Linked DNA regions of Macaca fascicularis. The protein of the gene in region 2 interacts with the protein of the main gene of each other region in a pairwise test. Links are inferred from orthologs where the notes say so. Each region holds a gene or a part of one and is shown on either strand. Other genes may lie near its edges. The genes, in order: BET1, KASH5, SENP2, GPR25, GOSR2, UPK1B and TRAF3IP3.

Region 1 (4,002 bases), on a different chromosome or scaffold from region 2:
AGATACCTATGCAATCTCCACCACCACAAAAACCACAACAAAATATTGGAGAAGTATTTTCCAAACAGAAGAGAGTTGTACTATCTGAATTTTCCTGCTGACACACTATCCATAAAGCTCTCCACATGTGTTATTATAAAAGAACTCAAGGAGTGGGCATATTTTTTCCCCCAGTCAACAATTAAAGTTACCATTTAAAAACGCATTCCTACTCTATTAATCAATGATACTCTGTGCAAACTGTAGTTTAATAAGGGCCAAGATACTTAAAGAAAAGAATAATGTCTTCTTATTTTGTGTGGCTGAGGTTCTGAGTATACAACATTTACCCAGTAAGTAATTACTGACTGGTTGAATGGAAACATTTGACAACTTCACCAAGGAATTCATTCTAAATTTTTTCTTTCCTATTTTCTTTCCTTTGTTTAGTTGCTTTTGCCTATCTTAATTTTAATTTTAGAGTTCTTCCATGCTGTTCCATTTATTCAAAGTGATATTCTTGTTGTATTTATTGCCAAAAATATATCAATGCACATTTCTATTGAAGAGTTGATCTTCCCTCAAACTATGACCCATCCCAAATACAATGAAAAAAGTAAAAAACAAATAAAATGCTAGAATTGCTATTCCAAACAGAGCCACTTCCCTTCTGGTGGTGTACTGCTATGAAAAGTTGTAAAAAAGCTAGTGATTACTGAAGATCATCCTCAGCCTTTGTTTATTTAGATAAACGCTACTTCTTTTGGATGGGTTCTATCAGTAAGCTAACAAAACCAGTTATCATGTGAAGTGTGGCAACTTCTGCCTACAGATATCTATCAGATTCACTATGATCCCAAATTTAAAATTTCAGGTCAATATACATTCATACTTTAAAAATAAGAAAAGAAAAAATGTTTTGTTTTTTTTTTTTTTTTAAAGAGTAGGTAGTGGGTTCTAAATTAGTGAAATTCTAATTTAACTGGCTGAGCTGAGGTCCAGGAAACAATACTTTAAAAATTTCCCAGGGGATTCTAATGTACAGTCAGGGCTGAGAATCATTACTCAAGTCACTTTCCTGTAATTTAACATGGCACACTGCAGCAGAAAAATGCTCAAAAGGGCCTAGGGGCCTACTGATGAAATCCAAACTCTTTGGCCTCGCATGCGAAGATCTCCACAGTGTGATCCCGCATCACTTACTTCACCCAAACTGGTTTAATCATAATCCCTTATTTCTTTTTAGTTCCTCCTATCTGGAACCCACTTCCCCTACTCTCAATTATTCAAGGTCTACTTCAAATTCCTATGTCTCCACAAAATACACAAGGATCTTCTCCACAAAGTACACAGTAATCTGTCTCTGAAATCTCTGAGACCATCCCTTGTATGTAGAACCTATCTGGTATTTGGATGTATAGCGACTACTTTGTACTATAACTTATCTTTGCACATATTTCTACTCTCCAACTAGACTGGAAGCTTTGGGGATCGCAAACCGGGCAACAAACAACTGTATACCTAGAGCTTACTCAAGCACACAATAAATCTTTTTTTGTCATTAATGATGATGAACAAGAAAAACATTTACACATATAAAACCAAACTTACTCAAAATTCTTTCTTTTTTTTTTCTCATCAATTTACCTGGCCCCACTTTCTATGATCCAAGTATTCATAAAAACTTCATTAAAAAAAACAAAAAACTTTTTCATACTACAATTTATTAATAAATAAACAAGTCTATGGTTATTGGCAACTTTCATTATATCTGACACATTGGGGAATTTGTTTTTCTTTCTTCAATCTTATAATGACTGAGAAAGGTAACACTATCTTTTTTCAAAAGTTTCATTTATTTTCTGAAGTATACTGCACTCTTAATTTAGCAGGGTCTTCTTTAAAAAAAAAAAAAATAAAAAATAAATCGTGTCCTAAGAGAAAGCTTCAGAATCAGAAAATGCTGTTCTAGTAGCTGTGCGTTACTATAAGGGCCCATTAAAATTCCTTGGGTCTAACTTATTCTTGCTGATGAGCCACTTTACTAACCCCAAAGGTAAAGATCAAATGTTAAGTCGCCAAACCTTATCACGTTCTACTGCCTTAACCGTGGCACAAGGTTCAGATTAAGAAATCGCCTTTGACCCAGAAGTTACAGTTCCAGGACCTTTAACAATAATGACACGTACATTTATTTACCTTTGTAACTCACTGTTACCAGACTAACGACCACTACTACTAGTGTGTTTTGCGTGCAACCACCCACTCTTCAAATTCCACTTCTGAAGAAACTAAGATCCAGGGCCAGTAGAGGAAGAGAAACCGGAGTCGGGCTTTGGAAAACATAGCAGTGTCCATAACCACGCTCAGGCAATAACACTAAGACACTCGACCACTGAGATGCCACCTGTACACACCCACCCCCAGTCCACTACTTTCTCTAGCCTACCATCCAAACTTGAATCTGACTCAGACTTAAGGAAACTCCAAGGAACTGGGACAAATGGTATGTTTCCATTCGACTTGGCCCACAAAGATCCCCTCTAGACAGCCTGTTTTTTGGACCAAATGCCAGGAACAGAAGACAGGTTCGATTTCTTTCCGCGCCCAGCATGGCCGGTTCTAGGGCCCCGAACTTCGAACCTCAGCCCTCTTCTTACCCAGGCCTGCACGCCTCATCCTGCCAGAGGAGAGAGAGAAAAGGCGGGCGCGGGGGGTTGGGTGAGTAGGAAAGAGCTGTGACCCCGACCGCGTCTTCAGTACCAGGGCCGGGCGAAACACCAACTTCTTCCCCTAAAGCGCCACGACATCAGTGTAGTCTAAACACCGCGCCTGCTGATGGCGTCACCAGGGCGCTCATTGGAGCCCTGGGAAGAAGGTTGAATGGCATTCTGGGAAATGTAGTTCACCGACGCATAAAGTGTTGTTGAGGGCGTGGTGTGAGCCAGGTTCCAGGGGCGGCCGGGGCTTCCGGTAAAGGGGCCGGCTTCTACTGCTGCTCCGACAACGTTCCAGCTGCTCCGCTCGCAGCTTCAGGTAGCTGCTTTCAGTTTGTTAACCACCAAGATTAACCCAGCAGATCTGCTCCTCCCGACCCACAAGAGGGTGGTTGGGGTATCTTTCCTGATTCAGCCTCGTACTCCCTCTCACCTCCAGAGGCAGTTGAGGGAAAGTTAGACAAAACTTTGTTCAGGTTTCTCAGTTTACAAACAAGTAATCCGACACCCACAGAAGTAACCGATGTGTGCCTCGTAGTATCCGGTAAAGGAGAGAAAACCAGGTGCCTTTGAGTAGGACTCCTGCTCGGATAAGAGCCAACTAGGAAAGGCGCGGGGTCTCGTCGGAGGCACTGAATAATTTGTGAATAGTTAGTTCCCTGTTACTGCATCTGTTGTACTTCTAGAAGGAACCAAGACTTTTAGTTGTTATAGGGACCAAAGGACCCCTAAACTCCCTCCCACTTAACTTTTTACACAAAGCAGTGTGCCAGTTTAGGGGTTTAAAAGCTTGCTGGCGAGTTGGAGGTGTTACTGGTATCGGGGTTAATCCTAGAATTTCATTTTATCTCACAGGATTATTTATCGTGAGAATACGATGAAATCATGGTTTTTGAAGGAAAAAAAAAAACCTGATACACAGGAGGCCATCAAAATCCACTGGGTGTCTGCGGTTTTGTTGTTGCTGCTGTATATATGGCAGTGGAATCGTCTCCACACTAGAGTTTCCGAATATGTGATCTCTGATCACTTAGCGTTTCCTCATAGTTTCCCAGGACATTATTAACATTGACTATAACAGTGGCATAAGTCTCTGCGTTAAGTTGCTCTGGTAAAAAACACACGAAAACAATTTTTGATAAGAGTTATTAACCTGGGAAGGAAGCTTTATCCAATAGTGTTTTGATAGAAAAAAATCGCCATTTTCTAAAAGCAATGGAATTAACTGAGCATAATATCAGGGACAATTATTACAAATAAAAGATGAAGATTCAATAAAAGAAATGATAGCTAGGTATCCCTTTAT
Region 2 (3,500 bases):
AGGCAGGAGAATGGCCGGAACCCGGGAGGCGGAGCTTGCAGTGAGCTGAGATCCGGCCACTGCACTCCAGCCTGGGCGACAGAGCGAGACTCCGCCTCAAAAAAAAGAAAAAGAAAAAAAAAAAAAAGATGTCATAGTGAGCTTGCTGGTTTTTCTTAAAGGTACTTATATTTGAAACATAAATGCTTAATATATCCTTAAAATGTTAGCATAAACAACTTGCTTATTCCCTTCCTACGGTAGTACAATTTTAAATCACGCAATTCCTGAGCGTGTTTTCTAAAACAACAAAACGACACGAAAAGCCACAGTGCAATTTGTGTGTTTGCTTTGTTCACCTTTGTCTCCAACGCTGGCAGGTCAGTCCCTGGGGCAGGGGTGGTGTCTGGTCTGGCTTGTGGCTGGGTGTCCAGCACACAGTGTGCTCTCAATTAACATTTTCTCATCAAATGGGGAACAAGCAAAGGTGTGAGTGAATGGCTGGCCAGGGCGGCACCTGGCGCTCCGGGCCCCTTTCCAGCTCCTGGACTTCAGAGCTTTTCCTGTGCTCACCTGTCCCCCAGCTGGGGCTTCAGACGGAAACTCAGCATCCTCACTGGTATCATGGATGACTTCCTCCCACTGCCACACCCCACACAGAGGGTTGGAGAGACCAGCAATTGCCACTTCCTGTTTCTGGGACAGAAGGTGTTTCCGAGGTCAGGGAGAGCCATGTTAAGGTAGAAGACAAGGTCAGAGACAGAAACGGGTTTAGGTGTGTGGCTGAAAATAGGATGAGAGGTAGAAAAGAGCTGGTGTGGGGCTGGTGTGGGGAGTGGGCAGAAGCAGGAACAGGGGAGGGTTTGCTGCCAGGACCGAGGTCTGGGTTCGAGATGAAGTTAAGGAGTGAGATGGTCATGGAGGGAGACGAGATAGGGGTGAGTCACAGCTGGATCGGACTGGGGTCTGGCATAGGCCTGGGGCTGGCAGTGGGTTTGGGGTTAGGATCCGAGATAGAGTTAGAGAAAAGCTAAGGTTGTGATGGGAGCCTCTGGCAGCAATGTGGGTTAGGGCTAGGCTGGTGTGAGGATCAGAGTGGGGAGATGTTTGGAGATCCTGCCTTGGTGGCCTGCAGCTTATTCCAGGGGTGTTAGGCCCACCTGTCGAATGGCCTCGATCTCCAAGCCCAGCGATGGGGGCAGCAGCCGGGTCCAGCCCACTCTTCTCAGCTGGGCCCCTTCAGGTAGCCTGGCCACACAGGGAGGAGGGAGGAAGGCGGCCTTTGTGCCTGGGGGCCACTCAGTCGGCTCATGCTGGCCTCCCTTCCCTGCCCACCTTGGGGCTGGAGACCAGGGTGTCTCTGCTCTTAGGCTCCCCTCCTGCCTCCTCCTACCCTATGAAGTTCCACTCACTCATCGGGCCCCTCATAGGTCTGACTCAGCTGCTCCTCCAGGCGTGAAATCTCCAGCCTCAGTTCCTGCAAAGGAGGAAGTGGGGGGCACATCTGGCTCTCCATTTTTCCCATCCCTGGGCTCCTCTTCCAGGGTTCTTTCCACTTTCCTGACTACTTTGGCCTCCCCAGACACACACTGCCTGGGGACAAAGGGCAGAAAGCCATGACAGAATGTTAGGAAGCCAAAGAGAGACAGAGAGCAACAGGAATCCAGAAGCTAAAGCACAGGCCAAGAGGCCGGGAGCTGTGGCTCATGCCGGTAATCCCAGCACTTCAGGAGGGCAGATCACGAGGTCAGGAGATCGAGACCATCCTGGCTGACAGGGTGAAACCCCGTCTCTACTAAAAATACAAAAAATTAGCCAGGCATGGTGGCACGCACTTGTAGTTCCAGCTACTTGGGAGGCTGAGGCAGAAGAATCGCTTGAACCCAGGAGGAGGAGCTTGCAGTGAGCCAAGATTGTGCCACTGCACTCCAGCCTGGGCGACACAACCAGACTCCGTCTCAAAAAAGAAAAACAAAACAAAACAAAACAAAACAAAAAGCACAGCCAAGAAAATTAAGAGAAGGAAGGCAGAGGCAGTGATGCATGAAAAAATGAAAGACATAAATGGAAACAGACTCACAGACAGGCAAGGGAAACACCAGGGCTAAGAGACTGGTAAAGACCAGAGCCAAACAGAGAAGACTTGCCTAGGGAGACAGACAGCCTAGACCTAGAGGCAGAGACAGGAACCCACACGAGCCTGGCAGAGACACATAAAGATGAGGAGGGGAGGCTGGGCGCGGTGGCTCACGCCTGTAATCCCAGCACTTTGGGAGGCCGAGGTGGGCGGATCATGAGGCCAAGAGATCGAGACCATCCTGGCCAACATGGTGAAACCCCGTCTCTACTAAAAATACAAAAATCAGCTGGGCATGATGGCGTGCGCCTGTAGTCCCAGCTATCTGGGAGGCTGAGACAGGAGAATCGCTTGAACCTGGGAGGCAGAGGTTGCAGTGAGCCGAGATTGCGTCACTGCACTCCAGCCTGGTGACAGAGCGAGACTCTGTCTCAAAAAAAAAAAAAAAAAAAAAAGATAAGGAGGGGTATGTGAGAAGACACCCACAGAGAATGAAAGTGAATGGAAGGAACAGAAAAAAAGTGAAAAGGCAGATAGAGAAACAGAGGGTGAGACACACAGTAAGTCATACAGTCATACATTATGGATAGAAGAAGCAAGATGTGGCCACCGACAGAGAAAGAGCGATGAGGAGGAGAGGCAGCAAGTCCCAGAGATGGCAAAAGAGAAGTGGCCAGGGCCGCTGAGTTACCTGCGTCGTCACTCTGTATTCTTGCAAGGTCTGGGCCAGGCTCTCCACATGGCGAGTGCGCTGGGAAAGCCGAAAGCCAAATGAGACTGGGACCAGTTCCCCAAAGACATAGTGGGGGGTGGTGGTGGGGGGACTGGCTGGGGGGGTTAAGGGACAAGGGTGAGCTTGAGAGAAGAGCTGGGGCCCAAGGGAGAGCACCGGGCAGAAGGGCTTCTAGATCCCTGAGGGGTCACATTGGGACCTGGGGAATCCCTCCAATCTCTCCGCCTGCACATCCAAGGACCAGACCCAAGTAGGACTTCCCTTTCTAGACCAGGGGCAGGAAGTGGCTGGCGCACACGGAAGGCAAATCTCTTTCCCTCCCCGGGCTCCTCACCTCAGAGAGGATGGTGTCTCGTTGGCAAATGAGGTGTTCACACTCAAAGAGCTGCCGCTGCCAAGAAAGGAGCCGGTCCATCCATCCAACCTCCCAGGACTCCCCTCGGTCCTGCCCTCCGTCTGGCCTGCCCTGCTCTCCCGCACCCCGCCGATTCAACCTCCTGAGATGTTCCGGGACTTCAGGGATTTTAGGGATGCCTGGGTGGTCCTGGGAGTCTGACAGTTTGATGGAAGACCCTGCTCTCATCAGGCTGCAGTCACTAAAACCGGAAATGGGAAAAATGGCCCCAGGGTGGTGGAAAGTTGTCAGGCACTAGGAAGGAGTGGCACCTTCAAAGTGTCCTTCTCCATGGCCAGTTCCTGACTTCTCTTCTT
Region 3 (3,500 bases), on a different chromosome or scaffold from region 2:
AATTCAAAGGTAAGGTACTAAAGAAGGGGATAAAAGGACTCTCTATAGTAGAAGACAGGGAAAAAAGTGATCAGTGCAAAATGGAACACATGAAAATGGAATGAAACTCTACTTTTAAGGCATGTAAGTAACACTTAATGGCCAGAAGATGGAATCCAGGAAGAAAGTCTGTGCAATAATGAAAAGATCTACATAACTGTAACACAGCAAAAAAATGCAGAAATATTAACAGTAAGTGAATTTTACTATATATAAATTAGACTTCAATTTTAAAATATAAACTGGAAGGACATACACCAAAATATTAACATTTTATTTATCTTTAAGTGGTGGTACTTTTGAACAGTAATATTTTTTACTTTTCCTGTATTTTCCAAATGTTCTACAATAAACAAATTAGATTATAATGTAAAACAAAACATTCCTGATTTCAAAGAATGTGTTTATAAGTAACTAGTCATAGGGGATTTCCCTCAAAGAGAGAAGATGCAGGGGCTAAACAGTTCGGGAAAGAACCCACCAGAAAATTGTCAAAGAACTTAAGAGTTAGCTTCTGCTAAATGTAATAAGGATACAAGATGACAAGTTAGGCAAAATTTTTCAGCTATCACTCAAATAAAGAAAAATACATAGAGTATAATCAATATATCCTTTTATTACTCAAAAAATAAAACAGGCCAGGCGTGGTGCCTCACGCCTGTGATCCCAGCACTTTGGGAGGCCAAGGTGGGCAGATCACCTGAGGTCCAGAGTTTGAGACCAGCCTGACCAACATGGAGAAACCCTGTCTCTCCTAAAAATACAAAATTAGCTGGGCGTGGTGGTGCATGCCTGTAATCCCAGCTACTTGAGAGGCTGAGGTAGGAGAATCGCTTAAACCCAGAAGGTGGAGGTTGCATGGAGCCAAGACTGCACCATTGCACTCCAGCCTGGACAACAAGAGCGAAACTCTGTCTCAAAAACAAAAAACAAAAACAAAAAAACAGCTACTATAAGAATTCACCTAAAATACAGTATCACTTGCTGCTTCCTCCCATTCATCAATTGTACCCAGGGTTTACTGAAGACCAGTAAATGGAGTGGTGGATGTAATAAAGTACAGACGCAGAAAAGGGAAATATTGCTAATTAAAGGCAGAAAATCAGAACTAACCATCTTTTTAAGATTTAAGATGTTTTTGTTTTAATTATAACTAAGAGTTGCTTTACCAACCTCTTATAACTGGGTAGAAGTCACTTTGATTACAGATAATAAATAAATAGTTAAAATTAATGATGGCCAAAAGGGGGAGGGAATACAACTTACTTCATCATTGAGCCAGTGATAGTTCTTTAATGTCTGAATATCTCCTCGAGTAATTCGCAATTTGAAAGCACAACTTAGGATTTCATCCTGTGGGCCATGGCCTAGGGCATTACTGATTTCCTTTTCCATGTCCTGAATTAGAAAGTCCAGAAGTTGTTATTTTAATATAGAACCCATTATCAGTTATTGAAAACTCTGAGACTGAAAAAAGTTTTTCATCTCGGCAACACCTGACTCTTGAGAAAAATATACTATCAAAGACTTACTATAGTATGAAAACATTTTTTTCTTATTTTTTAGTAATAGAGATGGGGCCTCATTATATTGCCCAAGTTGGTTGCAAACTCCTGGGCTCAAGCAATACCCGCCTTGGCCTCCCAAAGTGCTGAGATTATAGGCATGAGCCACCACACCAACCCTGAAAATATTTTAACTTGTAACTACAAAGCAATCTTACTAATACAACAAATGCTGGTTCACTTATTAGCTTGTGGAAACAATAATAATAATATTTACATCTAAAGTATGGTCTCAATTATCCTACTACTATGTATTAACCACTATGAGCCAAACATGGTGTTAGATGCTTGAAGCACATCATTAATCCGTATTAGTGGGGAAGATATTATTACCATTTTATAGAGAAGAAAACTGAGAATTTATTTTACATATTCAAAGTCATATAATTATTAAAAGGTAGAATATTTGAACCCAGGTGTGTCTAATTTCCTGGCCTTTGCTCCCTTCATAATACTAAAATCCTGATTTCCACTTTAAACTTTTATTTTTTTTTTGAGACAGAGTCTCACTTTGTCACCCAAGCTGGAGCGCAGTTGCATGATCTCACCTCACTGCAATCTCTGCCTCCCGGGTTCAAGCGATATTTGTGCCTCTGTCTCCTGATTAGCTGGAATTATAGGTGCGCACCACCATGCCAGCTATTTTTTTTTGTATTTTTAGTAAAGACGAGGTTTCACCATGTTGGCCAGGCTGGTCTTGAACTCCTGACCTCAAGTGATCTGCCTGCCTCAGCCTCCCAAAGTGCTGGGATTACAGGTGTGAGCCACTGCACCCATTCTCTCCTTTAAACTTTTAAAACATCAAAATAGGCTGGGTGCGGTGGCTCACGCCTGTAATCCCAGCACTTTGGGAACCCAAGACGGGTGGATCATGAGGTCAGCCTGGCCAGCATGGTGAAACCCCGTCTCTACTAAAAAGACAGAAATTAGCTGGGCATGGTGGCATGCACCTATAGTCCCAGCTACTCAGGAGGTTGAGGCAGAAGAATCACCTGAACCTGGGAGGCAGAGGTTGCAGTAAGCTGAGATCGTGCCGCTGCACTCCAGCCTGGCGACAGAGCGAGACTCCATCTTAAAAATAAGTAAATAAAACATCAAAATAAGATTAGGACATCTAAGGGGTTATACCATCCTTTTTGACATGAAGAGAATAAGCAAACAGGCAGAAACTTGGAAACCAGGCAGCAATTTAGCAATTGACTCCTTATGGAATAAATGGCTTCATCATACTAAAGAATTATGCAGATAAATGCATTATTTAGAATACAAAACTAAATCCATTAACCCAATAGAAATTATTTTCCTCTAGGCCCGGGGCAGGGACTCGCGCCTATAATCCCAGCACATTGGCAGGCTGAGGTGGGTAAATCACCTAAGGTCAGGAGTTCGAGACCTGCCTGGCCAACACGGTGAAACCCAGTCTCTACTTAAAATACAAAAATTAGCTGGGCGTTGTGGCAGGTGCCTGTAATCCCAGCCACTTGGGAGGCTGAGCATGGAGAATCACCTGAACCCAGGAGGCAGAGGTTGCAGTGAGCCAAGATCACGCCATTGCACTCCAGCCTGGGCAACAAGAGTGAAACTCCATCTCAAAAAAAAAAAAAAAAAAGAAGAAATTATTTTCTTCTAAATATATGCTTCCTCCCCCAGCACACAGCTTCACTATTTTATGGATCTCTCTCTCTCTCCACCTGCATGCCCAATATAACAGTAAGTATTCAAGAGATTTGCCTACTAGGGCAACATTGTAGAGGAAGCCAAGATGTGGCACATCTTTAAGAATTTTAACTACCTTCATTCTTCATGTTCTGTAAGTTTTTATTATTTTCAAATGCAATAATCAGCAAAAGGGGCATTTTAGTAAACTGTAACCACTTTTTTAAAAAATGCAATGAA
Region 4 (4,058 bases), on a different chromosome or scaffold from region 2:
ATCAGAGTCAGCTTCCCTGCCCTGAAAATTCTGGGGTCTCAGCCCCATGAAAAAATAATTTCTTGCCTCAGAGAGCAATAGTGAGGATAAGAAGTGCCAAGACTTAACCGAGCTCTCAAACACCAAAGTGCCTGAAATGTGTCCTGCTGGCAGAGGTGACCTCACAGGCTGCAAGGCTTGCCTCTCTTGGAGTATATGGGAGGAACATGCAGAAATGCACTTTTTGGCAGGCTGATCTAGGAGACCCGATGTTCAATCTGCTCTAATCCAGCAGCTCCAAATGCTGAAGAGAATACAGGGGTATTTGATGGGGGGATGGGATGGATAGCCTGCGACAGAATGCCAGGCTTCAGACCCAACCTAGCACTGAGGTGCTTATCCGCGTGCACACCCACCCTTTCCCCCAGAGCTTGCAACATCCAGACTGGCCTGTGGGGATCTGGCTAGGATGTACACTGACTGAAATGTCTTTAGGCCAAATCCTCTTAAATCAAAAGTATAAACAGTGAATTTCCAAACCCTACAGAAACCTCAAAGGAGAAATGACAGAGTCAGAAAATGGCTAATCCCCACAGTTCATACTGGTCTGAAAAAAGTTCATGGAAGGTCTGAAAAAAGATAGAAAAAAAAAAAAAAGGCCTGGTATATATTTGAAAATCCAAAATGACACATCTTCTCTCAGAAGTGACACCCGGCTGGCAGATGCCCTTATATAAATATATTTTCTTTCTGTAGCTTTCAAAATGTGAAATGTCCTTAAAAATAATAAGAATAAATGATTTGCTTCCTCCTATGGGATTACTGCACCTGCAGAGTGCAGCCAGCATTCAGCTCCCAGACACCACCCCAAATCCTCATCATCCTGAGATCAACCTCAACTACTGTGTTGAGTTTTGTCTCACCCAGTGTGCGACCCGCCTCCTGATACGCATTTCACTCCCACTGCGCAAGCAAAGACGACTGTGAAGACAGGGCTAGCAGGAGTGTCTGTTTATTGAGAAAGATGAATTCACAGAGAAGATTTTGAGGTTCCTGGCTGAGTGGTGGAGACCTTAAGAAACGCCTGGTGAGCGATTTCAGGACCTTCTGTTGAGAGGGAAAGACCAGAACAACTTCCAGGTGAGTCCTACCGCTTCGTAGGGGGAGAAGTGTCACCAGATTCAACACCAGGGTTTTGTGAGTGAGAAGGGCAGAGGGCCTGACTTGGAGAAGGTATTTCTCTGAAAGCAAAAGCTATTGTGGGAGACGGGAGAAAGCACAGCCAGAAACCAGAATGGCATTTAGGGGTCTGGGTTCGATTTCTGGTCAGTGCTCTTCCCAATGAGGCAGAGAAGGAAATCCCCTTCCCTTCTGTCTTCTTGGTGAATCTGCGGGTCTCCGAGTTGCTGTCTGCTCCATCTCATAGCACTTATCTTGTACCCTGCAGGCTGACAGGGAACAGCTAGTCTCAGGAGCCTGGTTTAGGGGAGTTCAATTGCTCTGAGGTTCCGGGGAAGCTGATGGAGGAGACCCTGGGAGTCCAGGCAGCGCGCGAGGCAATGCGATGCCGGCCGGAGCAGCTTGCTGCCGCCAGAACAGGCGCATCTGGGTCCCCTCCCGGGACTTCTCCCCTCCTCTCGGTGCTCCGCTGTCGCCCACCTCCAGCGGCCCGGGGCAGCTACCAGGGGGCCGAGGCAGTGTTCGCGGCCTGGGCCCGGCAACGGAACACGGAACTGTCGTCCCTGGAGAGCGAGGAGGCCGAGCTGATCCTTCGCGCCAGGCGGCCGGTGCGCCCGCAGGCCGCGTCCAGCGCCCGGGCTCGGAATGAGCGGTCCAGCAGGAGGTAGATGAGCGGGTTGGCGCAGCTGTTGACGAAGGCCAGGCAGGTGGCGATGGTGAGGCCCCAGCGCAGCGCCAGCAGCAGGGGGCACGGCAGTGGCAGGGCCCCCAGACGCGCCAGGTGGAAGACGGCCCGCAGGGCGCTGAAGGGCAGCCAGGAGCCCACGAACGTGCTCTCGATGGCGAAGATGATGCGCAGCGAGTTCCTCCGGACCCGACCCACGTGCGGCGGCCGGCGCAGGCGGCGCGAGATGCGGCAGTAGCAGAAGAGGGTGACGACCAGGGGCAACACGAAGGTCAGCAGCAGCAGCAGCAAGCTGAGGCCCTGGAAGGTGTGGGAGGGCTCCTCCCCGCACTGGCTGCCGTGGCCCCCAGGCAGGGGTTGCAGCCCCCGGTAGACCAGGGAGGGCAGGCCAGCCAGCAGCGCCACGGCCCAGACGCCGCAGCACGAGGCCAGCGCGCAGCGCGGGGTGCGCAAGGGCCGCGCCTCGAGCAGCTTCACCACGGCCAGGTAGCGGTCCATGCTCATGCCAGCCAGCAGCAGTGCGCCCGCGCAGCGCGTGCCCGCCAGCGCGAAGCTGCTGAGCTTGCAGAGGCCCTCGCCGAACGGCCAGCGGCCGTCTAGCGCCGCCGCCGCGGCCCACAGCGGCAGTGTGAGCACTAAGCCCAGGTCAGCGGCCGCCAAGTGCAGCACGAAGGTGTCCACTAGCCGCCGTGGGCCGCGCCGCCTGGCCAGCAGCCACACCACGAAGGCGTTGCCCAGCAGGCCCATGGCGAAGGCCGCCAGGTAGAGTGCAGGTATGTAGACATAGCCGTAGGGCAGGTCCCCGGCCGGACACAGCTCCAGCTCCTCCAGGTCGTCCAATCCCGAGTAGTCCCAGGCCCCTGACCCCGGGCTGGGACTCCAGGGCTCTGTGGGGTCCATGGCCTGGCCACGAGGCCTGCGCTGGGTGCAGCCCTGGGCTCAGGCGGCAGCAGCTCTGAGCAGGAGGGGGTTTGCTCTTCATGCCCGTGTCGTGCACCTCCCTTCCTGCCACCCCAGCTCGAGCAAATGGGTGGGCAGGAAAGACAGGAGGGAGGAGGGGATGGGGTGGGAGGGGCAGGCTCCTGTGGGAGAGATGGTGGCCTCCGATTTGGGGCTGACCCGAGGGGTAATAGGCAAAAGGGGCTTCACAACTAAGTCTTGGGAGGAAAAGTCCTCAGGGCTGGGAGACCTGCCCCGCCTCCCAGTAGGAGCGTGGCCCATTCCTCTATTAGTTGCTCAGTTTCTTTGTTCGTGAAATCGGGATACTTGCCCCACTGCCTCAGGGTCGTGTTGCAAGAGGTGGTGGGTGCCAGAGAGCCCTAATCTCTTCTCAGCCTCCACCTCACCCCTTCCCACCTGCACCCACCGGCTGCTGTTTTCTCTGTTTTAGAGGGGAGAAGACAGGGGATTTTATGAGTATGGGGCCTAAGGCACGCCCCCCCCCCCCCAAATCCACCTGTTCCCTAGGAAAGAGTCCACTGCCGGGACACAGCAGATCTGGGTGGGTCGGGGAGCCCGCCCTGGGCACTCAAACCGTTGTTAGCATCCTGAAATGTGGGGTTTGTGTCTTCACCCTGTGAGTGGCTTCTCTGACCCAAACAGGTCCTCATGAAGCGGAGTGGAAGGGTTTTAAGGCATCTAGGAAGGGGTGTAGTCAGATCATCCTGCTGGACAGGGGCCAAGCCTGGGATTCACATCTGCCTCTTCCCTGTCTTCTCCCAGCCTAAAAAAGCTATCTATTAAGCCAGACGCAGATGTAAGCTCAGTTCAAAAGATGACACCTAATGAAACACCAGATTAGTTGTCCTAAATTATGAGTCAGGAGCTTGGAGGCAGCAAGATCCTTTGTGAAATGAGAAACTGAGAGTAAGGGGAGGATACCTAAAGAAGAGGGGGAATGAAGTCTGACCCTGAGTGGGCGGTGGGCCCTTAGGAGGAGAGGATGGGGGAGGGAATGCTTGCTCTTCCTCCTGAAGGAGGCATGCAGCCAATTACATCTGAATTCTTCTTAGCAGATATCCCTTCCACAAGATATTGTGGTGGAACTGATGTCACAGTGCCCTCTGAGTCTGTCCCCAGTGTCCCCAGGAATGAGTGGCTGATGTGCCGGGCAACCTGGTGTGGAAAATTTGAGGTGGATTATCAATTTTGTTCGATTCAGACTTGTTAACAATGAACTCCTCCATGAAGCAGGCACTGTTTCAGGCACTGCGAG
Region 5 (3,500 bases), on a different chromosome or scaffold from region 2:
TGGTCTAAAAAAGGCCTGAATACTACATTATTAACGATCTAAAATCCAACCATCTTTTAGTGTGTCTTATAGTTCATTAAATTTTTGAACTGTTAAACACTGCGACTTGACTGCTTAGTCTGGGGAAGCAAAACAACGTTGGCAGAGCCTGAAACACTTGGGGAAATTTACTGCAAAGCAAGGATGCAGCATTGAGGGTTAAACATCTACAAAGCGGGAAATGATGTGAATTTTAACAACAGGCTTAGAAAGCTAACATCTCTTTAGAAAATAATCCTCTGTAAAAAACAACATACAAAAAGCCAAAGCACACTTCACTTAGTGGAATATATTATGCAGGACACAGAAAAGGCCAGTCTGTTCTACAGCCACGTGCAGGAAATGATCTGGTTAAGACTAAAGGGCAGGGACAATGGGTTCTGAGAAATCCAACGTGCACACCAACACATTTTCAGACAGACTCAGGCAAGCAGTCCGTCTAACCCTACACATCCGTTAACAAATTCCTCCAAATTGCTGCTCAGACTAGGGGCAAAAACATTTTAATGCACCTGACACTGGAACCACACACATACCCGGCACAACGGCCACTGCCCGCAGGCAGCTCTGAAATACCGCCTTCTCTACAAATGGCCTAAGTTCTAATCATCTGTCTCTATCTGATCAGAAAAACGTTTCCACTATGTGAACTTCCACCTTTCTGTCTCAGACCAGTCCAACCAGGTAATTTTCACCTCTGCCTATTCCCCTTCAATTTAACTGCTTCCTCTTCAGGTTTTTGTCTTAGAAAAAGGGATTCTCTGTCGAGGTCTAGTCTCTGTGGCAATGCACAAAGTTCCCGTCATTTCCAGTTGGTTTCCTCATCACCAGTCTTCTTCAGATACCCCCAAAACAGATGGCGCTCAGAGATCTGAACTCCAGCCCCCACAATCTGCCAAATGCAGGCCGACCCTCACCGCAGGCCTGGCTTACGTTAGTGGTGAAGGTTCGAGACAGAAGCTCTTCTCGCTGTCTCTCCTGCTGCTCCCTTGCATGGCGCCGATGCTGGAAGTTTCTGAGCGCAGTCTGCAGGTGCTGGACATCATACTTTAACTGGTCGACCCGACTGGAATTGATGGAGAGAGAGATTAAATTCCAGGAACTCAGGGCAGCAGAGTCTCAGGGGGCCAGGCTTTGTATTCAGGAAAGACAGCATTTCCTTACTTCTCCCTACACCACCCCACGCTATACCCCACCACCACAAGATCTGATTTTGATCAATGATGTTGAAAGTAAAGAAGTAACGTGTGGTTAAAGCGAGATGGTAGCACACAAGCTTCTGGCAGCTTTACTTCAGAATCTGTTGCTCTCTGATTCTGGATGCATGACAGGGAACAGGGGACAGGAAGCAGGCTCGCTGACCTCTTCTTGACCTTCTATGGATTATATCGCTCTCCTGGAAGAAGCCCAAGGGCATCTTTGAGGTAAAGCATCCACAAAGTATCATAAAACTTTTGGAAACAGGCACTGGGGGTGGAGTGGCGAAGGTGGTTTCATTTTAATTTCATGGTGGAGTATCAAACATTAGATCAGCATTTCATTATGGGTGGACTGATTCAAGTGATTTTTCATTTCAACCCAAGAAGAACCCAGCAGGAACCAAAGAGCAGAACAAAACTCCATGGCAACATTAGGCTTCAGGTGGCTATGGGTCTAGTCAGAAAAACAGAACTGGAGGCAGAATTTCAAAATGACACCAAAGGGGTCACAAGGTTTCTGAGTCACAAACCTCACAGGCTATTTATTTTGAGGAGCATTACTCAGATACAACTGTGCCCTTTGGGGGGACTTTTTCTTTACATAGTCGTAGTTTTTCAACATGTACGTGGGTTTTCAGAATATTCTATCGCCTCCCCCCCCCCAGGAGAAAAGCCTATCTTGCCAGGCCTGGAGTAGCAGTGCCATGTCAGAGGTCAGCACTTACAGTTTGGCATTTTGCCTTTTGTTAGGGGGCTCCTTGCTGGACAAAATCTCCAGACGTTCTAGACGGCTGAATATCTGGTCTATGCTTGCTTGGATTTCGTTTTCTACTACTGTACAAAAAAGAAAAAAGAATAATTGCTGGAAAAGAGATAGTGAACTTAAATTAGAATAAATTACAGATTTTTTTTTCAATATCCAATAAACTAGAACTACATATTTCAAAAGGAGAAAAATGTATACACTAATGAATAACAGAAAAAATTCAAATTATGCCGTAAATGTTGTTTTGAAAAAAGTACATGTATATAGTTGTTAATGACACAACAATGCCAATTTTTTTAAAAAGCTGAAGGTAAATCTGTAGAAATAAATTTCCTACCTTTAGAAAATAAACATGCAAAGGTTGTACAAATAAATACTTTAAGCTAAATTTTCTGATATAGGTCTCTTTTCCTTTGGATTTCTCAGACGTGGATTATAAATACCTAGTAAAAAGACTGCCAGTTGAATTCCCTATAGTAATGAGTTTTTTTTTTTTTTTTAATTAAAAAAAAAAAAGCATAAAGGAAGGGGAAGATTAGTATGTGAAACATACAGAGGAGAGCTCCCTTAAGGCTTTCTGTAAGAATGGGTGGGCTGAGCAATGTTGACGTCCCCAAAATAGACCAAATATCAATAGGAAAGGCCCAGGAAAGAATCCACAGAGGTAAAGAGATATGATAAATACGGTCATTTTCCTTATCTCTTTCGATAAGACAGTCAAAATGACCTCTTTCCATTTCTAATCATGTAACGAGATTGCTGAGAAGGCAAACAAAGTCCAATGAACAAAAAAGCTAAACTGTGCACAAAAGAAAGCATCCAGACTGCTTCTTGCCCATAAAGAAGTGACAGCAGTGACACTGCCCCTTCCTAGGCCTTTGCGCCCACAGTAAACAAAGACAGTTGAGATTAGAACAAGGTGGGGCACAGAACCAAGAACAGAGCTGCTTTTGAAGCTGTGAAAGGAGACGTGAGAGAACAGGAGGAATGGGTCCGGAGGGAGCCCAGCAGTGGGGTGGGTAGGCAGTCCCCGCAGGTGGTGTCCATATGACTGACTCAGAAAAAAGATCTTTCCTTAGAATAGAAAAAAAAAAAAAAACCAAAAAAAACAAAAATCCAGCATGCTTCTCAAAAGAAACCATGCTGTGGGAACTAAACTAATTAATATTGCTGTTCGTTTCTGAATAATCCTCCTTAAAAGCCACAGTTCTCAGCTCAGAAGAAATGGCCAATTCCAGTTAAACATCTCTGAATTTTTATGGAGTACATTCCTCTAAGGACTAGGTAATTAGATTAAGACAGATGGAGGCAAGCGCTTCCATTCCCATAGGGCCATGTCAGGTTGAGTGGAGGGGTAATGGGGGATAAGACTTGTGGGATTCCAAAGGGCACACTCAGGGAAATCAGTGATTTTGCCATAGGGTTTTTCTGTCCACCCTAACAACAAAACTCATTCCACGCTGAATCATTAAGCCCCCGAGGCAGAGTGCAGTCAG
Region 6 (4,066 bases), on a different chromosome or scaffold from region 2:
TCATTCAGTTTGTTTTCTTATAAAAATTAATCATACCCATAGTGTTGATGTTTCCAGACACATTGAAAAGTTCTAAAAACAATTGGTCACTAAACAAACCAATTTGCAAAGCAGAAGAAAAAGAAGTGTGACTCGCCCAGTAAGCATGAGATCATTTTTTCAAGTTCATTACCTCTTTTCCTCACCCAAGTTTGTTGCACCAGAGAACACACAAACCACACCTCAAACTCTAGTTCATGCTAGAGAAATTTGAATTAACAAAGGAGAAAAAAAAGAAAAGGAAAAATAGGAGAGGAAGAAACGAAGAAACACAATATGCTATTGCCTTAGCCCTGACCCTGAAACTCAGAACAAGAACAGACACTTGCGTGGCTCAGAGTAAAGATGGGTGTGGAGACTGTAGGTCACAACAATTGCTGGTCTGCTTCAACTTAAGGTAGGATAAGTCCCTGGAAATAACAAAAAGAGGAGCTTTCTCCTAGGGCCATCACCCATGGCTCACAGTGCCCATAAGTTTTTCTTGCTTTAAAGCTCAAAACCTGTGTTCACTAATACAGTAGTTAGTAGTTGCGTGCAGTTATTCAAAGTCAAATGAATTCAAATAAAAGTAAAAACCAGTTCCTCAGTTGCTCCAACCACATCTCAAGCACTCCCCAGATACATGTGGTTAGTGTCTATTGTCTAGAACATTTCCCTTATCACAGAAAGTTTTACTGGACAGCACTACTCTTGATTCCTGGTGCTCCCAGTATGATGGGAGTCATCCATCTATTGGAAATCAGGGACTAGCTGTAAGCAATGGCTCAGGAGCACTCAGTTGCATGAAGGCCTCAGGTGTGGGCATTGCCAGAGGGATGCCCAGCTCCAGGAAAGGAGTACTGTGGAGAATCCTTGGGGCAGGGGGACGAGGCGGGGAGCGTGGTGTGTGATGACGGTGCCCCTCACCAATGTGGTCTCTGTCCCAGTTGGCGAATGGTGGCCCATCAAGTTTGTGGGCGGCCTGAATGGCTATCAGGCCCAAATTCCAGAGCATATTTAAAGGCTGACTGGTGTTTACTCTGGTTAAGAACGTAAGCAGGAGAAGTCAAAAAGAAGTTCTGAGTTTTGGCCGGGTGCTGTGGCTCACGCCTATAATCCCAGCACTTTGGGAGGCTGAGGCAGGTGGATCACAAGGTCAGGAGATCCAGACCATCCTGGCTAACACAGTGAAACCCTGTCTCTACTAAAAAATGCAAAAAATTAGCCGGTCGTGGTGGTGGGCACCTGTAGTCCCAGCTACTTGGGAGACTGAGGCAGGAGAATGGTGTGAGCCCGTGAGGCAGAGCTTGCAGTGAGCTGAGATCGCACCACTGCTCTCCAGCCTGGGAGTCAGAGAGACTCCGTCTCAAAAAAACAAAAAACAAAAAACAAAAACAGTTCTGAGTTTTTTTTTTCTCCTTGATTAAAGGATGTCTAAGGTCCCCTTTGAATGTAAAAGTCTATGATTCTTCCCAGCAGTTAAAAAAAAATATATAGGTGAGTTGATTTTAAAGACTATTTTATAGCAGAAAGCAAAACAATCTGTTGGAGCGAAAGTAAAGTAAGAAATTTTTCTCCTCACTGAAAAGGTTAATAAAAAGAAAATCCACTTCTTCACAGGGTCTGAAAACTATGTAACCTAAATTTTATTTATACTGAAAGTATATATATATATCTATAAAACCTAGCGAGTTATTTCCTGTTGTGCTTAGCAACTCAGGCAAGAAATGGTCAAGAAACATTGTCTTTCATTAAAAGAAGACATTCGAGTTAACAAAACTTCTTTAAAAATTTATTTATATATTTTTAGAGACAGGATCTCACTATGTTGCCCAGCCTGGACTAGAACTCCTCATCCCATGGCCTCAGCTTCTTGAATAGCTGGAACTGGAGGCATGTGCCACTGCAACTGGCTATAAATTCTTAAATGGCTTAAAAATCTTTAAAACTAGTTAGAAATAGAGTTTTAGGTTTATAAACAAATGCAAACATAAAATAATACTAGCATTATTTGAAACTTAAATTTGTATTTTGTATGAAAATGTCATTAGAACGAAAAATATCTTTATGTCCTGCACATCCTTGTGGAACAAAGAATTGGTAAGGAGTAAAAACAAATTATGTAAAAATAACATTGCATAGATAAAGCTACTTTGTTGACTTACTTCAACTGACACATTTATTAAGCAGAAGTGTTTGCAGAGAATAACTGGGAGTAAATTGCCTCACACATTTCATTACAAGTTGGCAGGACCAAATGATTTCTGACAAGAAGACCAAGAAACTTTCTCTCTGCTAGCCTGAACGGATTATTCAGAAATGACACGAGCTATTTCGTTAAATTTTCTATTGCTTTTCTGACTCCACAAGGAAATTGGGGGTCTACAAAGGTGTCTGTCTATGTGCGATTTAATCAGGAGATACGGGGTTTCTCAGGTGCTTGGATTTTCTTGTTCTTTCTTTGGGGATATTTCAGGTTGAAAGCAGGATGGCTGCGTAATATCTCCAGAACAGAACAAGACTTATATCAAAGGTTTTAAGAAAGCAATTTGAACGGTTCAAAGTAAAAGAGAACAGGACAGTCACAATACCCTAAATTACAAAGAAAAAAAATGACAGACTTTATGAATCAGGAATCTAACTTCTTCCCCTTTCGCTCCCAGACCACTAGCTTCCCTCCCGGGAGAGCAACCCAACCCTTGAGCCCGCGGGATTCCCTGTAGAGGGAAAGCAGTCTACTCACAGCGCCTCCTCTTTCTGCACACAGGGTGCGGCCCGCTCCGCAGTCTGCACCAGCCCCAGGTGCTTTTCTACCCTCCTGCAATCCTTTGAACCTCCAGGACCAGGGAAGGGTGGTCTGTGATTGGCAGGAGGCACCTCACATGGGCTGAGCTTGCCGCTGCCTGCCCTGCCTCGCTGAGACGGGGGAGTAACCGGAGACTGTCAGTAGATTTCTGCTGCTTTGGAATGTGTGACTCTGACATCTGGAAGCACCTTGACAGCCACACTCATTGCTTTCCTAGATCCCTCCTAGGTCTGGACTTTACTGGAATACAAATTCAGGGCTTTTATTTTGATTTGATTTGATTAGTGTAATTTGATCCTTACTCCTGCTTTTGTGTGTTGAAGGCTTGTTAGTCCTGACTGCTCACAGAGATAATGATATGTGCTTACCTGTGCAGGGCCATGTCCAGCTTTAGTTTCTATAACCCTTGCATATGCCAAATTCATAGCAATAGTCATTGCCCAAGTAATGCTCATACTGTAGGTAGCCCAAAGACCAATAAGGAGCAAGAGATGTGGAAAGAAACAGATTGAGAAAAATTCAGGCAAAGAGAGAGGGCTCAAGTGATTATCTGATGTCCAATTCTTCTCTTCCCTCTTCCTTCCTCCCTTTCCTTTCTCTTCTCTTCCCTTCCTTTCTTTTTTCCTTCTTTCCTGACTTCCGGAGCCATCATGTGTTATACATGGCACCCAGAGCATCATTTTAATGGCTGCATAACCTATCGTAGTATACGTGCACCATAGCTTGTTTAACCTGAGTTAGGAGTTGGTAACAGCAGTAATGTTAGAATTTACTGAGTGCTTTAATCAATAGACTTGGGAGTTCCTCAAGGGTCAGCATCATCTCTGTCTCAGGTTAGATTGTTCAGGAGCAGACTTTGAGACAAAATTTAGTGTTCAATATATTTATTAGGGAGTGCCCTGAGAGGAACACCCATGGCAGGGACAGGGAAGAAACAGGACTGGGCAGAGAAAGAAGTTGAGCTGCAATATAGGTGGGACAGTCTGAAGCAGTCCCCCTTGGGAAACTCTGGAGGAAGATGGCCTGTCAATGTAGCTCTGCCACTGGGCTCCTCTATCATCTGCCCTTCAATGTGGGTTGCCCTGGGAAGGCAGCTTTCTGTAGCTGAGGCAAGTCCTGAAAGGGGCTGATAACTGGAGGCTGGGAGGTTGCAAGTACTCCCAGCAGCAGGGCAAGCTCCCCCTTGAAGGGGACTGCATGGAGCACCTCTGTGTCCATCACAATGCCTTATTCCTCTGCAGC
Region 7 (3,500 bases), on a different chromosome or scaffold from region 2:
CTGAGAAGAGGTGAGGAGTGCAGAAGTGCCTAGAGAGGGGAGAGAGGTAGTGAGCGAAAGGGTAGCTTAGAAGCTTTCCTTCCAGGGCTCCCCTGCTATGCTACCCTGAGCCATTTGATAAAAATGGAGGTAAAAGGAGGACTTGAGGCCAGTCTGATTCTTTCTTGTCCTAGTCTAGAGAAAGAAGAGAAGATCCTCTTCTATTCAGCATCCTTTGTCATATTTGCTCCTGCCTGCCTCCTGAAAGAGTTCACTGTTTGAGCATCAACCATGTGCTGGGCAGTAGGATAGGAATATAGAGTCAAACTCTTTGCAGACTAGATTTTGGCCCACACTCATTAACTCATCCCATTTGCTCCAGGGACAACTTAATGAAGACAAACTGAAGGGGAAACTGAGATCCTTAGAAAACCAGCTGTACACCTGTACCCAGGTAAGCATTCTGAAGGATATTTCCATCTCGGGAATCTAGAATTAAATGTGAAGAATGCTTGAACCTCAATCTTACTTTTGAGAAATGCCACCAGATAGAGAATAACACACCCATTCCTACTTACCCAGTTCTGGCTTGGCCATTTTCACTTTAGTCTCTAATTCACTAGATCACTGTCTCCATCCTTCTTCCTCTCCCTTTCTCCCAGTATCCTTCTCTTTGCACCCTGGAGGAATCCCAGCACTAACCACTTTGTCAGCTCCAGGGGAACCTTGAGAATACCTGAAACTGTAGGGAAAGGCCCTTGGTAAAGATTCACAACACCCAGACAGATCTTTACACATCCTAATCTTTGAACAGATGAGTTAGATGTTATAACGAAGTCTTAGAAAATGATTTTCATTCCATGGGCAACTTTTTTTGTTTTTTCTAGCAACCCCTAGAAGAATGTAAAAGCTCTTTTACTTGGCTCTTCTGTAACACCATTTTCCAGCATTAGTAATCTCCTGATTGGCCTAATCTTGGTTTACAAGAGATAGAAAGAAATCAGCTTTCACATTTGAGAAGTGATGGATACCTGACAGGTGGGAAGATGTCAAATAAGAGAATGGGGCGGAACAGGCAGACTTCTCCCATCTGGAGTTAGAGAGAGAAGACAGTTGGCCACATAGATGGCGTCTCACAGGGGAAGAGAGTTTATGGAGTCTATAAGTTTCTTGGTCCACAACTTTCATTTATTCAGTATGACTTGCTTTGACAGGACTAAATAATGCCAACCAAGTTCACAAGAGACCAATATATAATCCAGAATGCCAATCTATTCATTTTCAATAAGGAATAACACATAACCAGTGCCCAGCATGGATGGTCATTGGATGTCCAATAACTGGGACATCCCCTACATATGACCTCAACCAGGTTAATTCCTGAATCTAGTTTTTAATGAAAGTTCCAAAACTATAAGACCCACTCAAATTTAAATCCAAAATTTCAGACAATTCCAAAGCTAAATGGAAATGATTTCATATTGATCCCTAAATTTTTGTCATCTGGTCTACTGCTTACACAGTGGGTAATCCAGAATTGACAGTAAAATCTGCCTGCCTTCTCCGAAATCACAGGACACAAAGATGAAAGAAAGGGAGAAGGCAAGACCCCCAGTGAATTTGCAAAGCTGCACTTGTGTCTCCTTAATCCTGCAGCCAGGAGGAATTTTATAACGCGAATGTATTAATTTTAAACCATTAAGTTCATTAGGCATTGTAGAGAAGCTACAGTGATTTTTTTTTAAAGCAGCAGCAGTATGCTCCCTCCCTGAAGGAGTTTACAATCCAGTAGGAAAAACAGATGAGTCAACAGAGTAGAATAATAGAGGCATGCAGGGTACACTATGTGAACACTATGAACACTAAGAAAAGCTGCCTAATCTATAAGACATTGTGGGATGGGGGCAGTTGGTCAATTTATCAGAACTGATGATACTGGACTGAATCTTGAGTATGAGTAGAAGTTAACCAGTTCTAGGCAGAAGAAGCTATATGGGTAAAGGCAGAAGCCAAAAAAACAGAGTGCTAGGGGATCTGCAAACATCTCAGCTTAGGTGGAAGTAGCATGGGATGAAAGTCTAGGCATGTAAGTGGAGCCATGACAAGGAGTTTGGATGTGATTCTTAGGATGCTGAGAATCCATGGAGAATTTATGCAGGAAGTGGCAAGATCAGATTTGCATTTTAGAAAGAACCTTCTAAATGCGGGACTGAAAAGGGACTGAAGGGAGGCAAGATTTGAAGAAAGGGAAGCTGTTGCATTAATCCACATAACACTACTACTAGAGCCTGAACTAAGGAAGCAGCAGTAGGGATAGAGAGGAGACAGATATGAACTATGAAGGAAACTGTCAAGGTTCAATGACCAACTGATTACTGGAAGGAAATGAGAGAGAAAATGAAGATTGACTCCCTGGTTTAGGGTTTGGAAAAGACTAGATGGATGATGATTCTGGTCACTGAGATAGGAACCCCAAGAAAAAAGAACATGTTTAGAAACATGAGTCCTGTTTAGACATGTTGGATTTCAAGAGCTTGTGGAAGGCCTCAGATATAATGCCCAGCAAGCCTAGGGCACTGTTTATTATGCCCCCCCACTCATCTCTCATTGCCTGAGGGACTCTCCCTGCTAGCTCTACCCTAAAAGAAAAGGCTCACTAGATTACTGGTATCTCTGCCTGGGGGAAGAACCAACTTCTTTTCATTTCTGTATCCCAGTTCAGGATTTGGCACACAGAAGTTCAATGTGTATTTGTTGAATTGCATCAAATTTACAGAAATACTCCCCTTGGGGAATGAAAAAAGTACTACTGGAGATGGAAGACCAGAAAAACAGCTATGAGCAGAAGGCCAAGGAGTCACTGCAGAAAGTGCTGGAGGAGAAAATGAACGCAGAGCAGCAACTACAGAGCACACAGGTATGGGGATGCCACACAGACCTTGGGGTTGGGGACTCCAGGCAGCTTGGGGAACAAGGGAGCCAGCTGCACAGCTCCCTGGAACCTCTCCTCTCTGACCTCCCTCAGCGATCCCTGGCCCTGGCAGAGCAGAAGTGTGAAGAGTGGAGGAGCCAGTACGAGGCTCTGAAGGAGGACTGGAGGACCCTTGGGTCCCAGCACAGAGAGCTGGAGAGCCAACTCAACGTGCTTCAGTCCAAACTGCAGGTACCAGGCACTGGGGGTGGGGAGGGAAGACAGGGTATGGGGAGGAGGGGTGGTGATGAAGAAGCTGTTCTGGATTAGGGACTCCAAAGGCAGCTGACAGCATCTGGCTTTCAGTTCCTCAGTCACCACCTACTTTGTACCAAATTCACTGTTTTGGCTCTGAAATTTAATTTCGAGTTTAGCAAGGATGTCTGCACTGCTCATGCAAATGAACTAAGCGTTCATTGGAATGACACCATCACCATCCAAATGAAAAGAACTGGCTGGAATATATATCAGCCTACTAATGTCATATCCCAACCCACTCTCCAAACTCCATCCCAAAAAAGCATCCAGTTCAGAATTGCCCATTGTTGGC

The links.
Region 1: the proteins of KASH5 (region 2) and BET1 interact in binary tests that used the Homo sapiens proteins (3 or more experiments, as listed by UniProt). The two-hybrid records come from large-scale screens. The link is inferred for Macaca fascicularis from reciprocal best matches to the Homo sapiens genes KASH5 and BET1.
Region 3: the proteins of KASH5 (region 2) and SENP2 interact in binary tests that used the Homo sapiens proteins (3 or more experiments, as listed by UniProt). The two-hybrid records come from large-scale screens. The link is inferred for Macaca fascicularis from reciprocal best matches to the Homo sapiens genes KASH5 and SENP2.
Region 4: the proteins of KASH5 (region 2) and GPR25 interact in binary tests that used the Homo sapiens proteins (3 or more experiments, as listed by UniProt). The two-hybrid records come from large-scale screens. The link is inferred for Macaca fascicularis from reciprocal best matches to the Homo sapiens genes KASH5 and GPR25.
Region 5: the proteins of KASH5 (region 2) and GOSR2 interact in binary tests that used the Homo sapiens proteins (3 or more experiments, as listed by UniProt). The two-hybrid records come from large-scale screens. The link is inferred for Macaca fascicularis from reciprocal best matches to the Homo sapiens genes KASH5 and GOSR2.
Region 6: the proteins of KASH5 (region 2) and UPK1B interact in binary tests that used the Homo sapiens proteins (3 or more experiments, as listed by UniProt). The two-hybrid records come from large-scale screens. The link is inferred for Macaca fascicularis from reciprocal best matches to the Homo sapiens genes KASH5 and UPK1B.
Region 7: the proteins of KASH5 (region 2) and TRAF3IP3 interact in binary tests that used the Homo sapiens proteins (3 or more experiments, as listed by UniProt). The two-hybrid records come from large-scale screens. The link is inferred for Macaca fascicularis from reciprocal best matches to the Homo sapiens genes KASH5 and TRAF3IP3.

The regions. Positions count from the first base shown.
Region 1 is NC_088377.1:127,321,590-127,325,591, reverse strand, and holds the start of BET1 (BET1 homolog), read right to left. Parts: upstream 2,801-4,002; 5' UTR 2,659-2,800; coding exon 2,640-2,658; intron 1-2,639. UniProt on the Homo sapiens protein: Required for vesicular transport from the ER to the Golgi complex. Functions as a SNARE involved in the docking process of ER-derived vesicles with the cis-Golgi membrane.
Region 2 is NC_088393.1:57,356,569-57,360,068, reverse strand, and holds part of KASH5 (protein KASH5), read right to left. Parts: coding exon 3,456-3,500; intron 3,444-3,455; exon of another isoform or gene 3,373-3,443; coding exon of another isoform or gene 3,181-3,372; coding exon 3,124-3,180; intron 2,808-3,123; coding exon 2,748-2,807; intron 1,457-2,747; coding exon 1,392-1,456; intron 1,228-1,391; coding exon 1,140-1,227; intron 676-1,139; coding exon 553-675; intron 1-552. UniProt on the Homo sapiens protein: As a component of the LINC (LInker of Nucleoskeleton and Cytoskeleton) complex, involved in the connection between the nuclear lamina and the cytoskeleton.
Region 3 is NC_088376.1:97,550,366-97,553,865, reverse strand, and holds part of SENP2 (sentrin-specific protease 2), read right to left. Parts: intron 1,438-3,500; coding exon 1,306-1,437; intron 1-1,305. UniProt on the Homo sapiens protein: Protease that catalyzes two essential functions in the SUMO pathway.
Region 4 is NC_088375.1:58,609,711-58,613,768, reverse strand, and holds the start of GPR25 (probable G-protein coupled receptor 25), read right to left. Parts: upstream 2,801-4,058; 5' UTR 2,744-2,800; coding exon 1,658-2,743; 3' UTR 1-1,657. UniProt on the Homo sapiens protein: Orphan receptor.
Region 5 is NC_088390.1:66,846,360-66,849,859, forward strand, and holds part of GOSR2 (Golgi SNAP receptor complex member 2), read right to left. Parts: intron 2,101-3,500; coding exon 1,964-2,100; intron 1,106-1,963; coding exon 973-1,105; intron 1-972. UniProt on the Homo sapiens protein: Involved in transport of proteins from the cis/medial-Golgi to the trans-Golgi network.
Region 6 is NC_088376.1:164,009,100-164,013,165, forward strand, and holds the start of UPK1B (uroplakin-1b), read right to left. Parts: upstream 2,801-4,066; 5' UTR 2,762-2,800; intron 1-2,761. UniProt on the Homo sapiens protein: Component of the asymmetric unit membrane (AUM); a highly specialized biomembrane elaborated by terminally differentiated urothelial cells.
Region 7 is NC_088375.1:67,597,420-67,600,919, forward strand, and holds part of TRAF3IP3 (TRAF3-interacting JNK-activating modulator), read left to right. Parts: intron 1-361; coding exon 362-433; intron 434-557; exon of another isoform or gene 558-721; intron 722-2,755; coding exon 2,756-2,896; intron 2,897-3,004; coding exon 3,005-3,142; intron 3,143-3,500. UniProt on the Homo sapiens protein: Adapter protein that plays essential roles in both innate and adaptive immunity. Plays a crucial role in the regulation of thymocyte development.